Linked DNA regions of Mus musculus. The protein of the gene in region 3 purifies or fractionates together with the protein of the main gene of each other region. This does not show direct contact. Links are inferred from orthologs where the notes say so. Each region holds a gene or a part of one and is shown on either strand. Other genes may lie near its edges.

What was found. Proteins that work in one complex are often made in the same cells at the same time.
Region 1: the proteins of Pnma2 (region 3) and Trim33 purify together in Homo sapiens (affinity purification with mass spectrometry; 3 studies listed by BioGRID and IntAct, with this or other methods). This does not show direct contact. The link is inferred for Mus musculus from reciprocal best matches to the Homo sapiens genes PNMA2 and TRIM33.
Region 2: the proteins of Pnma2 (region 3) and Pkn2 purify together in Homo sapiens (affinity purification with mass spectrometry; 3 studies listed by BioGRID and IntAct, with this or other methods). This does not show direct contact. The link is inferred for Mus musculus from reciprocal best matches to the Homo sapiens genes PNMA2 and PKN2.

Annotation. Positions count from the first base shown.
Region 1 is NC_000069.6:103,327,751-103,331,704, forward strand, and holds part of Trim33 (E3 ubiquitin-protein ligase TRIM33), read left to right. Parts: intron 1-1,287; coding exon 1,288-1,562; intron 1,563-2,329; coding exon 2,330-2,494; exon of another isoform or gene 2,495-2,514; intron 2,515-3,859; coding exon 3,860-3,954. UniProt on the Homo sapiens protein: Acts as an E3 ubiquitin-protein ligase. Promotes SMAD4 ubiquitination, nuclear exclusion and degradation via the ubiquitin proteasome pathway. According to PubMed:16751102, does not promote a decrease in the level of endogenous SMAD4.
Region 2 is NC_000069.6:142,808,593-142,812,546, forward strand, and holds part of Pkn2 (serine/threonine-protein kinase N2), read right to left. Parts: intron 3,466-3,954; coding exon 3,322-3,465; intron 3,011-3,321; coding exon 2,935-3,010; intron 2,274-2,934; coding exon 2,099-2,273; intron 1,896-2,098; coding exon 1,769-1,895; intron 1,363-1,768; coding exon 1,232-1,362; intron 1,126-1,231; coding exon 1,050-1,125; intron 973-1,049; coding exon 881-972; intron 1-880. UniProt on the Homo sapiens protein: PKC-related serine/threonine-protein kinase and Rho/Rac effector protein that participates in specific signal transduction responses in the cell.
Region 3 is NC_000080.6:66,909,755-66,914,297, forward strand, and holds the start of Pnma2 (paraneoplastic antigen Ma2 homolog), read left to right. Parts: upstream 1-1,453; 5' UTR 1,454-1,539; intron 1,540-4,543. Other genes in the region: Dpysl2 (dihydropyrimidinase-related protein 2), read right to left, coding at 688-1,029.

The DNA.
Region 1 (3,954 bases), on a different chromosome or scaffold from region 3:
ACGCCCTTGAGATTCGAATTTTACTGTTTAAAAAAAACATATTATTTGGGCAAACAGAAAAAAGATACTCAATTTTGACTTTAGATATAGCACCAGAAAATCACTGTTGTTTGGCTTACTAGGAGAGAGAAGAATGAATGTGAGTGTGTGTGTGTGTGTATTTCATTTTATACTGCATTTTCAAAAAGTTTTTTACAAAAATTACTTGCAACAAGATTTTTTCTTTGTGGCCGGCCAATATTACCTCAAAGAAAATGACTATAAAAAGAAAGGGAAATAACTAGTTTAAAGGTATAAATGATTTAAAGTGTTCAGAATTTCCACAGAAAATTATTTGGTAGCTGGGTATTGTTTCACCCTTAACATTGGCAATTCAAAAGCAGATGGGGAGATTGCTCAGTGGTTAAGAGTACTGGCTATCCTTTAGAGGACCCAGATTTAATTCTCAGCACCCACATGACAGCTCACAACTGTCTGTAACTCGATTTCCAAGGGATCTGGTAGCCTCTTCTGATCGATCTCTTTGGGTAAGCAGGCATACAGTGGTTGGTGCACAGACATATATAGTCAAAACACCTGTACACATTTAAAGAAAGAAAGAAAGGAAGGAAGGAAGGAAGGAAGGAAGGAAGGAAGGAAGGAAGGAAGGAAAGAAAGAAGGAAAGAAAGAAGGAAAGAAAGAAGGAAAGAAAGAAAAAAGAAAGGAAGGAAGAAGAGAGAGAAAAAGAGAAAAGAAAGGAAAGAAAAGGAAGTTACAAAGAGAAAAAGAATAAGTATAGAATAGAATCAGTATAGCAACAATCATGAATATATCCTGGAGTCTTTGTCATGGAAGAATTGGTTCAGACTGACTGGATCCTTCCTCTAATAATGTCTCTTTCAGTCTCCAGCCAGCTAGCCTGGGTTATGCAGCAGCAAAGACACCGTGCCTCAAACTAGCTGGAAAGGTGAGGACTGACATCCAAAGGTTGTCCTCTGACCTCCACATGTGCACTGTTGTGCATGCCCACAACCATCCACGCCCCTCTCCAAAAACATGCACATGCATACATACACTACACCCACACAGGTCTAAGAGCAGATAGTGAATTCTGAATAATGAACTTATCTGTGGGAGGGTTCAAGGGGCTTCTAATTAGCATCATCAAACCTAGCTCTCATTTGTGATGTACTGTTGGATGCTCTGAGGTGCTAATTGTCAGAAGGAGGAAAAGATAGTGATTCATCTTTGAAGTGGGCAATTTAGTTGATTATTTGTAAATCCTTCTTATTTTTTTAAACCCTCAGGTAATCTAGTAATAGAGAGTAAGCCAGCTCCTGGTTATACTCCTAATGTTGTAGTTGGGCAAGTTCCTCCAGGGACAAACCACATTAGTAAAACCCCTGGACAGATTAATTTAGCACAGCTTCGACTCCAGCACATGCAGCAACAAGTGTATGCACAGAAACATCAGCAGTTACAACAGATGAGACTGCAGCAACCACCAGCTCCTATACCAACAACAACAGCAACAACCCAGCAGCATCCTAGGCAAGCAGCCCCACAGATGTTACAACAACAGGTAAGCATTGTGCTCTTCCATTAATGATAGAAATTGAGATGACCACAAATCTACACTTACTTCTTTGCACATGAATTACACAATATGAGTTACTAGGTGAAGTTCAAAGGTCAGAAATTTGGGGGAAGTTTAAAGAATAAAGGTGTTAAGATCATGGGAAGCAGTGACATTTTGCCTCTTGATATGTTATATACCCCCCCCCCCCATTTGTGTGACCCAGATTGTTTCTAAGCTTTGATGCGTTAGGCATTGGCTGAAATTACTCTTTTCTTTGATGTTGTTTATATGCTGCTTCACAATCAATATTGTTAGCTCCGCACGAGATGAGTTAATGTCGACCTCCATTTCCTTCCCGCACTCCCACCTAGAAAAGGTAGATAGGAAAAATTTGGAGTTACTTTTTATAGTAATTATCAGTTCTGTAAGTATTGGGTTTGGAAAGAGAATATGACCTAATAGTGTACCCTTAATACTACTTAATATTTATACCCTTCTGTTCTAACTGAATTACTGTTACCTTAACATTTTATGATTTGAACAATAAATTTGTAGAAATATCAGCTGGGCATGGTGGAGTTTGCCTTTAATCCCAGCACTTGGGAGGCATAGGCAAGTGGATCTCTGAGGTTGAGAATAGCCTGGTCTTCATAGTGAGTTCCAGGACAGCCATGGCTACAAAGAGAAACCCTGTCTCAAAAAGCCAAAAGAAAAAAGAAAAAAAAAAAAAAGGAACTACTATATGAATTAAAATGTCTGCTTTTTTACAGCCTCCAAGATTGATCAGTGTGCAAACAATGCAAAGAGGCAACATGAACTGTGGAGCATTTCAAGCCCATCAAATGAGACTGGCTCAGAATGCTGCCAGAATACCAGGGATCCCCAGGCACAGTGCCCCTCAGTATTCCATGATGCAGCCACATCTCCAAAGACAAGTATGCCTAGAGTTACATTTGTAAGAATCATACAATTTTAAAACTAAAAGATCATTTTTTATAATTAGAGTTGTTGATGAGGGTCTTTGATATTTATGATAGTTTGATATTCTACATATATCTGTTTGCCCAAAAAAATGTACATTCACATGAAAATTTGTCTCTTTAAACTTACAATATGGATTAAGATACTCTGTTTATCTAAGCTCATTGCCTAGAGTGAAAAACAAGTCAAGGAACATTTGATTTACCTTTAGTCACAAATGATAATTCTGAAAATCAAAGTTAGAGTTTTCCTGATACAGTTAGTATGCTTTTTAACATGACATTTTGATCTTGATAACAAAGAATTCTTTAATAAGGTTATCTGTGTGTGTATGTCTGTGTTTTTATATATTTTCTTTTCTATACTCAGGTGTTATTTGTTTTAGATATGCCTAATCTTATAAATTACTGTGGGTTAGGGTGTAGGTCTGTTGTAAAATGGTTGAAATTCTGGGATTGATCCATTACTGCCAAGAAACTCCCAAGATGTTTCTGATGACGATGATGATGATCTCAGGTTGAGTGGCTTTGATTGTCATTCCAGTGCTAGAGAGGTAGAGGCAGGAGATCAGAAGTTCAAGGTTATCCTTAGCTTTATAGAAAATTCAAGGTCAGCCTAGGCTATAGTAGATTTTGTCTCAAAAGCCAATTATATAGGGTGGAGAAATGGTGATTAATGCGCTTGTTACTCTCCAGAGAGCCACATATGGTTCCAAGGACTTATCTGGCAGCTCAGAAATATTTCCAAAAGACCTTAAATATGTATGACCTTAATCCTTGTAATAGTTCTCTTAATGAAATCAGAATGGAATCATTTATCCATAATTCAGGGTTACTATGTAAGATTATGTCACTGTTTAGGACTGTATAATAGTAGAGCTAGAAATCAATGTCATAATTCCTTTCTGAAACTCATGAATTTCTACCATATCAAGTTACATTTTGTAGTTCTTTTTTAATTGGCTAAAAGACTAAAGAATCAGAGAGGAATATGTTCAGAACTGTGCTTTCTGTGTCCTGCTATTTGCAAACTTGGTGGCTTTCACATCTTCATACATCCTTATTCTGAAGATCATATCAGTAGGCTGACAGATTAACAATTATTTGCAAATCTGTTTTTCTTTAGATAGTACATAAAAACGAGTGAAAAATGAAGACTCGTTTAAACTGTTCTCTTGCATATGAGAGGCCCCCACTTTGTCAGTTGCAGGTACTTTTAGTTTGGAAAGTACACACTAAAAATAGTTACAATTGTTGCTAAGGTATGGTTCAGAGATACTGACAGAGCACATAATAAATAGTACCTTCTTTTTAAAACAGCATTCAAATCCAGGACATGCTGGACCGTTTCCTGTTGTATCAGCACACAACCCAATCAACCCAACAAGTCCCACCACAGCAACTATGGCAAATGC
Region 2 (3,954 bases), on a different chromosome or scaffold from region 3:
TGATGATGGCATTTAAACTGGACATTAGGGTGTACACTTTTGAATCCAGAACTAGTGTGACAGAGGCAGGTGGATCTCTGTGAGTTCGAGACCAGTCTGGTGTAATACGGTGAGTTCCAGAAGAGACTATGTAGAGAGACCCTGGCTAGGAAAAAAAAGAAAAGGAAAAAGAAAAAGAATGGATTTTTTGAGAAGAAAAACCACAAAAGGAGGTCTAGCAGGATGGCTCAGCAGGAGAAGGGTCTTGCTGAGAAGACCTGAATCTGATCTCCAGACTCACACGGAGAGACGCTGGTTTTGGTCTCAACATGACTGACATATGCCTCTGCATGTGTGCACATATATACAGTAAATAACTATATTTTTTAAGAATTTAAATTTTTACTTAGTCACTTGACATCCTGCTCACTGGCCCCCTGCTAGTCACCCCCTCCAACAATCCTTTCCCCAATAACTATAATTTTTAATACATAAAGGAAAATTCATAAAGGTATATTTCAAAACACAGACTATATTAACCATTGAGTTACTTATATATTATCAGGAAATGACATTTTATCTGCGTCACGGGTGAAAATGTGATTAGTTTTACTAAGTAAGTCACAAATCAGTAATAGTTACATTTTAATACTTTATCAATACTGTAACTTATTAAAATTTAACAGAATTATTTTAAACATTTCCCTGTCTTTACTTGGTATCACCAAACCTGGCTTAAGGGAAAGAGGTGACTGAAAAGAAAAACAGCATTTAATTAATGTCTAGTTTTGCCATAGAAGATAAATTTAGCATTATCAAATATTTCTAGGAACTCAGATCCATTGCTGTCTACTCTCTCAATCTCTAGCCACAAGGAAAAACTTCATTTTAAAAAACTGACCTGTCTACTTCATCTCGTGCCACAATGTCTCCTTTCTTTAAGGCTTTTATTGCAAACATTTCATTTGTGTGTTTATATTCCGCCAACAGCACCTGAAATAAGAATAAATAACTGAGTTCTATTTGAATTTCTCATCCTATACGCTATTTCTACAGTGCTGACAGATTACCTTTCCAAAGTGTCCTCTCCCCAAGACAGCACAGCACCTGAAGTCCTGTAGACTGAACTGAAACCTCTGCTGAGCTCTGAAACATAACGATTAAAGATGAGGCCATCAACTCCACTCCAGCCACCAGCCGGCTGACGGACAGACGGACAGACGGCGAAGCAGCGTGCCTGCTCATCCCTTACCTCTTGTCATCAAGCTCTCCAACACCCCAGCAGCTTCGACCTGAGTCAGGAATGCTCAGCTCATATTCAGATTTGGATTTTGGACGCAGGTTATTTCTGTCATTCTCAATATTGAAAACAGTTTCTGAACCCTGTAAAATATCAAATGCTCATTAAAACAAACTGTTAGATAAAAGTCAGAGAATTCCAAAAGTATGAGAAAAAGTTTCAGATTGGCTCATTTGTTCTTATTGTTAAACAAACAGCTCTCCTTCCCTCAAGCATATTATCTTCTTCTAATGTCTGCAAAACATTGCATTCCTTTTGGACTCTTGAATACAGAGGCAAATGATAACAGTCCTCCAACAGGAAGAACGGCTATCTCCTATCAATTTCATCTACCTGAGAAAAGTCACTTATAAAACACAAACATAAAGGAACCAGAAAACCATAAATTCATACTTCATACTGATAATTTTAATTGCAATGTACATGTTAGCCACTATAATGGTTTTATTTTAAGAAGAACTTATACAAGGAATGTTTAGAATGCCTTGCCTGTCCAGGTATATCCAAAACTCTCAATTCAGAAGATTCATCTGTCTCTCCAAGGGAAGAAGCACGAGGTGGGGCTGGAGGAGGTTCAGGTTCAAGATCAAAGTCCAATTTGGTTACTGTAGAGTCACTTATAGAAGACAAAGCAATTTACCAAAGCTGCAATCAAAGTCTTTATTTTTATGTAGCTGCAAAATAAAAGCAAACTAACTTCTTTTAAATAAGGAGCAACAGTTCTGCAATTCCACTTGGAAAGACTGAGACTGAACACAGCACGTTAGACATCCTAGCAATGGCTATGGAAGATACACTCAAGCCTTCTAAGACAAGTACCTGGCCGGAGGTGCTAGATCAGGAATGCGTGCGTCAACGACTGGCACTGTTGCAGGCACAGGAGTCTGAGGGCTGAATGTGCCAGAATGATTTACTGTGGGAATAGCTCGTCTCACTAGTCTTCCCCAAGTGGCAATATTAATATTCATCTGAGGAGCTCTGAGAAATGTTTTGCCTGTAGACATAGTGAATAACGAAAGTAGGATAAGTAGTTTCTTTATACATTACTGAAAACCATAATTAGGGAAATTCATAATTCATCAGTTTAGAATTTATGAAGAACAAATTTGTAACTTAAAACCTAGTTTTTAACTATTTTGTTTTCTATTACAAGCACGTATAAATAGCACAAACAGTTTTTAAAAATAGATCGAGAGTTTGATTTCTTTTTTAACTCTAGTATTACATGTGGTTAAAGTTTAAGTCATCTGTTATGACGAACAACAAGTCTTAGTGATATATGAGTATGCTTCAAATAAGCTCACAAAGCAGAGTGGATGGGAGATGGTAAGAGTCGTGAGTTGATTATTACTCAAATTCAGTAAAAAGTCAGGCATGGCGGTATGTGCCCATAGTCCAAGTACTTGGGAAACGGAGGCAGGGGAATCATTTTAAGGACGTCCTTAAAGACAGCACCCTTTGAGGTCACATAGGCTACTGACTGAAAATAAAACAAAAGCACGGTGTTCTGTTATTCCACTTAAGGACGTGTTTCAGTCCTCATTTAAAAATGGCTAGAAATGAACAACTAAGAAGAAAGAAAGCACAATTACTTTCAAATTATGAGCTGGATTTTTTCTATACATAAAGTACTATGCTTAATCCTTAGTAATTACCTTGTTGTTTTGAAAAAATTTTCTTTTGTCTTTGGAGTTTTGGTCGTCTTTCAATAACTGGATTAAAAAAAGTAACCTGCAATAAAGAAAATACAAGTTGCTATCAACACTGTAATGGACTATGATTCACTAAAATCTACTAGATTCCTAAGCTGGAGAACGTGAAGGCACCTTAGCTACAATCAGTCCAACCCCTTCCTTTTCCAGATGAGAACACAGACCTAGAGGAGACATGAGTTTCCTCAAGGTCACGTCCTTATGCAGCAGTGCAGCCAAGAGCTCAACATATCTGTCTCTCAGCCTAACACTCTTGCCATTTCTACATCATGCTGATAACACATACAATTTCTACTGTGGTTATGCACATTAATAAAATACATGTATTACCTCTGCAAACAAAGTACCCTGTGGTTCCAAATAGAGACACATGCCATGCCGCTGGTTGTCTAAAAAATCTTCTAACCTCAGAAATTTTACAGCACACAGAGATCGCCAATCACGCCAATAAACTGAAATTTCCAGTTCACGTGACTAAGGTAATTAAAAAAAAACAAAAACAAACAAACAGAAAAGACATCATTGGACACACACTTGAATAAATTATCACAAAATATATGAACTACAAATACAATAAACAAATTACACACCAAAGTCACACTATTTAAAACAAAACTTTGTAATGTTTTTAAACTATATATTACTTTTTCCAGTTTTAACTTAAACTTATATTCAGATAATTTCTGCTAATGCATTTCTAAAGTTTCAAGGCCAGAACCCACAGTGAGAACAATCAGTAATTACAGAAACTCCTCTTCCATTTAGAATCTCAACCTTTCAGCTTTTTCCTTTTCACATGCCATTGCCTGGTGGCCTAATGCTAAGATGTCTTACTGGGTGCCTCTGAAAACCCATGTCTTTGACCCACTCTTGGGCCACACAAGAGAATATATTGTGCTCATCAGAAATGAGAAAACATGAAAAAACATACTTAAAGTTTTAACAACTTACTACTAAATATAC
Region 3 (4,543 bases):
GAGAAGCCCTTGCCGAGACACTTAGCAGAACTTTGTTCTCTACATGGGCTATCTAGCTTTTCTCAGTGACATCACAACCTCCCGGACTCTTCACTGGCTGCTGAACACAGTCCAGGCAATGGTAAGAGGCTCCGGGCGCTGGCCGTGGTCCTGACCTCCTAGCTCAGAACCATGGTGCTGAGCGCACTAGAGGCGGGGACCTTGCCACACTGAGTAGCCATGTAAGCCCTTGTCCCTACAGACCCCAAGGGAATCCTCTAGTCTTCACTGCAGCCTTCCACTGCTCTCTTTGAGCTGCATCAAAAAAGGGTGGGGCTCTGAGCCGCAGCTGCAATCGGATGCCGCCCGGGAGGATTTAAGAACAGCACAGTGGTCCACCCCAATCGCCACTCGACGCCTCCAGCCCGGGGATCAGCTGGTCCCTGACGCGGGTTCCCCACCTCCCAGGGACAAGGAGGCTAGGGCAGCCTTTGTGGGAGCTCAAACGCCCACTGGCGAACCCGTGCCTCGCCGCACCCTGCGCGGTGAAGGGGTGGGCAGGGCGCGGTGCGCGTGCAGATGCGGGAGGCAGAGCTCTTGGTGCCGCGTGCTGGCTGGTGCTGGCTGCCACGCGGGGATGCTCGGTCCTCCGCGACAAGCCAGGGGGCAGCCCCGCGCTCCGATCCCACCCTCCACCCCCATACCAACCTGATCATAGATGTTCTGCAGGGCTTCCTTGCCCGAGGCCCGCCGGATCTCCACCTTCCGGCTCGATTCAACAGATGGCTCCCCACTGGCACGCCGGCTCTGCCGGTGCGGGTCGGGGCCCAAGTGGGCGACATCGCGCTGCTGAGCCACCACTTGCCCCGAGCCCCGGCCCACTGAAAGCGAGTCGAAGTCGATGGTCTTGTTCTCCGAGGACCCTTCCACAGGGCAGAACATGCCGCAGAATTTCTGCCGCGGCTTGGGACTGCCGGAGCCCAGGTTTTTAAAAAAGGCAGGGACCTCTTCGTCCTCTGCTGCCTTTCCAGATTGCTTTCTCTCGGCCATGGCTCAGGGGGCGCTGGGGAAGGTCCTGTCTGTTCGTCCGTCCGTCCGTGGTTTCCTAAGTCTCCCTAGCTGGGTGTGCACTAGCCTCTTGCTGCCGCCGCGGCTGCCTCTCCCTGCCTACCGCAAGGTGCACAGAAAGGATGGAGAGCTGGCGAACCGGCGACCCACCCCTCGCGGTCCCTCCTCCTGACCCCGCTTTCTCCCTCCCTGCCCACGCCCCCCGGCGCCGCCACGCCACCTCCGAGCAAAGTTGGATCTGAGCGGGCGGTCGCTGCGGCAGAGGATGCCAGTTCCCGGCAACGCGGGGCGGGGCGGAGTGGGGCGGGGCAGGAGGAACGCAGGATCAGGAGGGAGGGGACAAGGAGGGAGAGGACCCAGAAGGAGGAGACGGAGAAGGGAGGGTACGAGGGGGTGGGGGGCGCCCGGAGCCTGCGCCCCGGAAGTAAAGCGGACACTCCACCCGCTAATGGACGCGCGGCAGCCGCCCGACAGACCTCTCTCGGCGCCAGGGTGAGTGTCGGATAGCTATAGCCGGGCAAGGACCCGAAGGCTCAGACCCTAGTCCAGAGCCCCTCTCCCCGACCTGCCTCACTGCATTGCTAAGGTGGCCCTGGGGCTCCCCTGGCCTCGGGTGAGAGCTGAGGGTTGAGGGAGCCAAGGTTCAAGCCTGAAGGCTCTTGGAAACTGGGCAGGGGTGACCCTGGAAACAGCAAAGTCTACTCCGGGATAACCAAGTATCCGGCACCAATGCTTCAGTTTACCCACGACCTGGGCGCCAGGGCGCGCACTGCAAGGAGCAGAAGGAAAGGAGAATGTTCTCCCTGCTTGCAGCCCCTGTGGTTGGGAGGTGGGGCTCACAACATGGCGGGGGCGAAAAAGCAGAGGAGCATAGCAAATGCAAGCGGTGACCGGGGGAGAAAGCAGCAAGCCTGCGGTGCGGGGGGGGGGGGGGGGGGCATAGTAAAGAATGCAGACTGAGGATTGCGCTTCAGCATAGAAACTGGGGACCCGTAACATCATCTGAAAAGGCCATGCCCTGCACATCAGCCATTGCCTCAGAAAAGGCTCAGAAGAGTCCTGGATTTGATATCTCCAATCCCTCAAAACACACACACACACACACACACACACACACACACACACACACACACACCCAAAACGGAAAATGGTTGGGGACTAAGCAGACTGAAGCACACTCATCTTGCTTTCAAGTCGCCCCGCCTAGCTTCCCCGCCCCTGTTGCACGCTGCGCAGGAGGCCCGGGAGTTTGCCAGATGTTCCTTCTCTAGGGCCGCAGCGGTTTGCATGGAGGGTAGAGGTAGATTGCTGTTCAGGGGAGGGTTACATGCTGTGTGAGTTGTGGGCAGCCAAAGTGTGGGGATTTGGAGTGTGTGCGCGCGTGCACACGGTTCAGCCACGACCGCCAGGTTCGAGGCTTTTCCTTGCTTAGTCCCACCTCCTGGTCCTGGCTTGGTTGCATTTAAGCCCCTCCTGTTTTTCCAGAGTGGCTGAAAGCTGCAAAAGTGTTGCCCATCCTTTAGGGGTTCTGGAGCGAGATCTGAGCATGCTCACTAAGATGGATGGGTTTGGTCTAGGAGAGGCAGTTTACTGCAGCGTGTTCTCACAGGGCGTTGTGACCAAGAAATCAGTCCCATTGTCAGCCTTTGCTTAGGTAACGATTGCTTGCAGATATCAACGCCCCCAGTTGCCCGAGATAGCTTGATTGATGGAGTCATAATTTGTGCGCACACACACACAATCCTGTAGGAGCCGAAAGGAGGGCCTATGGACCTTAGCACCAGAAATGCTTGGAATTTTCTTATAAAGTGTCCATTGGAATTGTCAATGCCACACTAAAGCCCTGAGGTCTTTCATCCTCCCTGCCTTCCAAGTTAGGACACCAGTTTATGAGTCATTACGCCTAAAGTCATGTGTCTAGTTGTCCAGGCCTTTGCCCCAAGAGCCTGGTTCCTTCAACAGGTTATCCTATAGGCCTCTTTAGTGAGAAAAGTACAAAATCCTTGCATTCTTCCATACCCAAGCATTTCCCTGGTGGTTCTTTTGTACATCAAGGGTGTTTCATTTACAGTCTTAAAATCTTTTTTGGTTAACCTTCATTTATGTATATGGATGTTTTGCTTGAATGTTTGTACATGCACTGTGTACAGGCCTGGGGCCATTGGCGGCCAGACAAAAGTGCCAGATTCCCCTGGAATTGAAGTTACAGAGTAAGCCAACTTGTGGGTGCTAGTAACCAAACCTGTGCATTTCACCACTAAGCAATCCCTCCAGATGTGTGAGGCCTTAGTTAATTGAAGAGCAACCCTTGTAGGTATGGTTACCATTGGGTTAAAGGTCTCAAAGGCTAGCAGATTTCAGCATGACAATTTTTCTGTGAATCTGGACATTTGGTGTTTTTTGTTCATTTGTTTGTATTTGTCTTTTTTGTTTGTTCGTTCGTTTTCTGTTTGTTTCGGTTTTTCAAGAGAGGGTTTCTCCGTGTGACAGCTCTGGCTGTCCTAGAACATACTCTGTAGACCAGGCTGGCCTGGAACTCAGAGTTCTGCCTGCCTCTGCTTCCCAAGTGCTAGGATTACAGGCATGCGCCACCACTACCCAGCATGTCGCTTGTGTTTGTTTTTGCTCTTTCTGAGACAAGGTCCTGTTTGTAAGCCCAGGCTGACCTCAAACTCCCGATGTAGCCAAGGGAGTTAAACTCCTGGCTCACTTACCTTCACCACTTAAGTGCTGGGGTAATGGGTATGTGCCACGGCGCCTGGCTTATGCAGTGCTTGGGATCTAACTCAAGGCTTTGTACATAGTGACAGCACTCTGCCAACTAGGCTACAGTCCTAGCCCCTCCAGAGCTCTTCACATCTCATTCCTCGAAACAACTCCAAGCAGAGGAAGTTCACTCCCATATTTTACAAGGGAATCTCAGGCCTAGATTGGTCTGAAGTTCCGGGCTCCCATGCTGCCAAGCACAGGGTGAGACAGCATCTTGCTCTCCTGGTTCTGACACAGTGGAACAGCCTTCAACACCTTCCAGGAAGACCGGATCTGCTCCTGCTGCTGCCATAGTTAAGACCAGCATCTGTGGCATACAACCTCCTTCAGAGTGATGGGAGATGTTCAAACCAAGGAGGAAGTGGATATAGCACCCTAACACACCCTCTACAAGTCTCTGAGAGGCACAGTCAGGCACCAAATTACAACATTTCAGTTGACATAACACATGTGCCCTATAAGAATGCATGGTCTAGTGATGGCACTCTGACATTCAGCCAATTAGGAAGCGGCTTCTCTGGAGGCATCCTCATGACTAAGTGACCACACTGTCACTGGGAGCACTCCCTTTTACATTCTCCAGTCTCCCCAGCCCTGCAGAGCAAGCACGCTTGGTGCACACATCACTTTGCAGTGGATATGTGTTCTGTCTTTGCCCTTTTCTCAACGGCCCAGTTAAATTTAAATGACAATGTCAAGTTTAAATGTCTTAGTTACTTTTCTATTT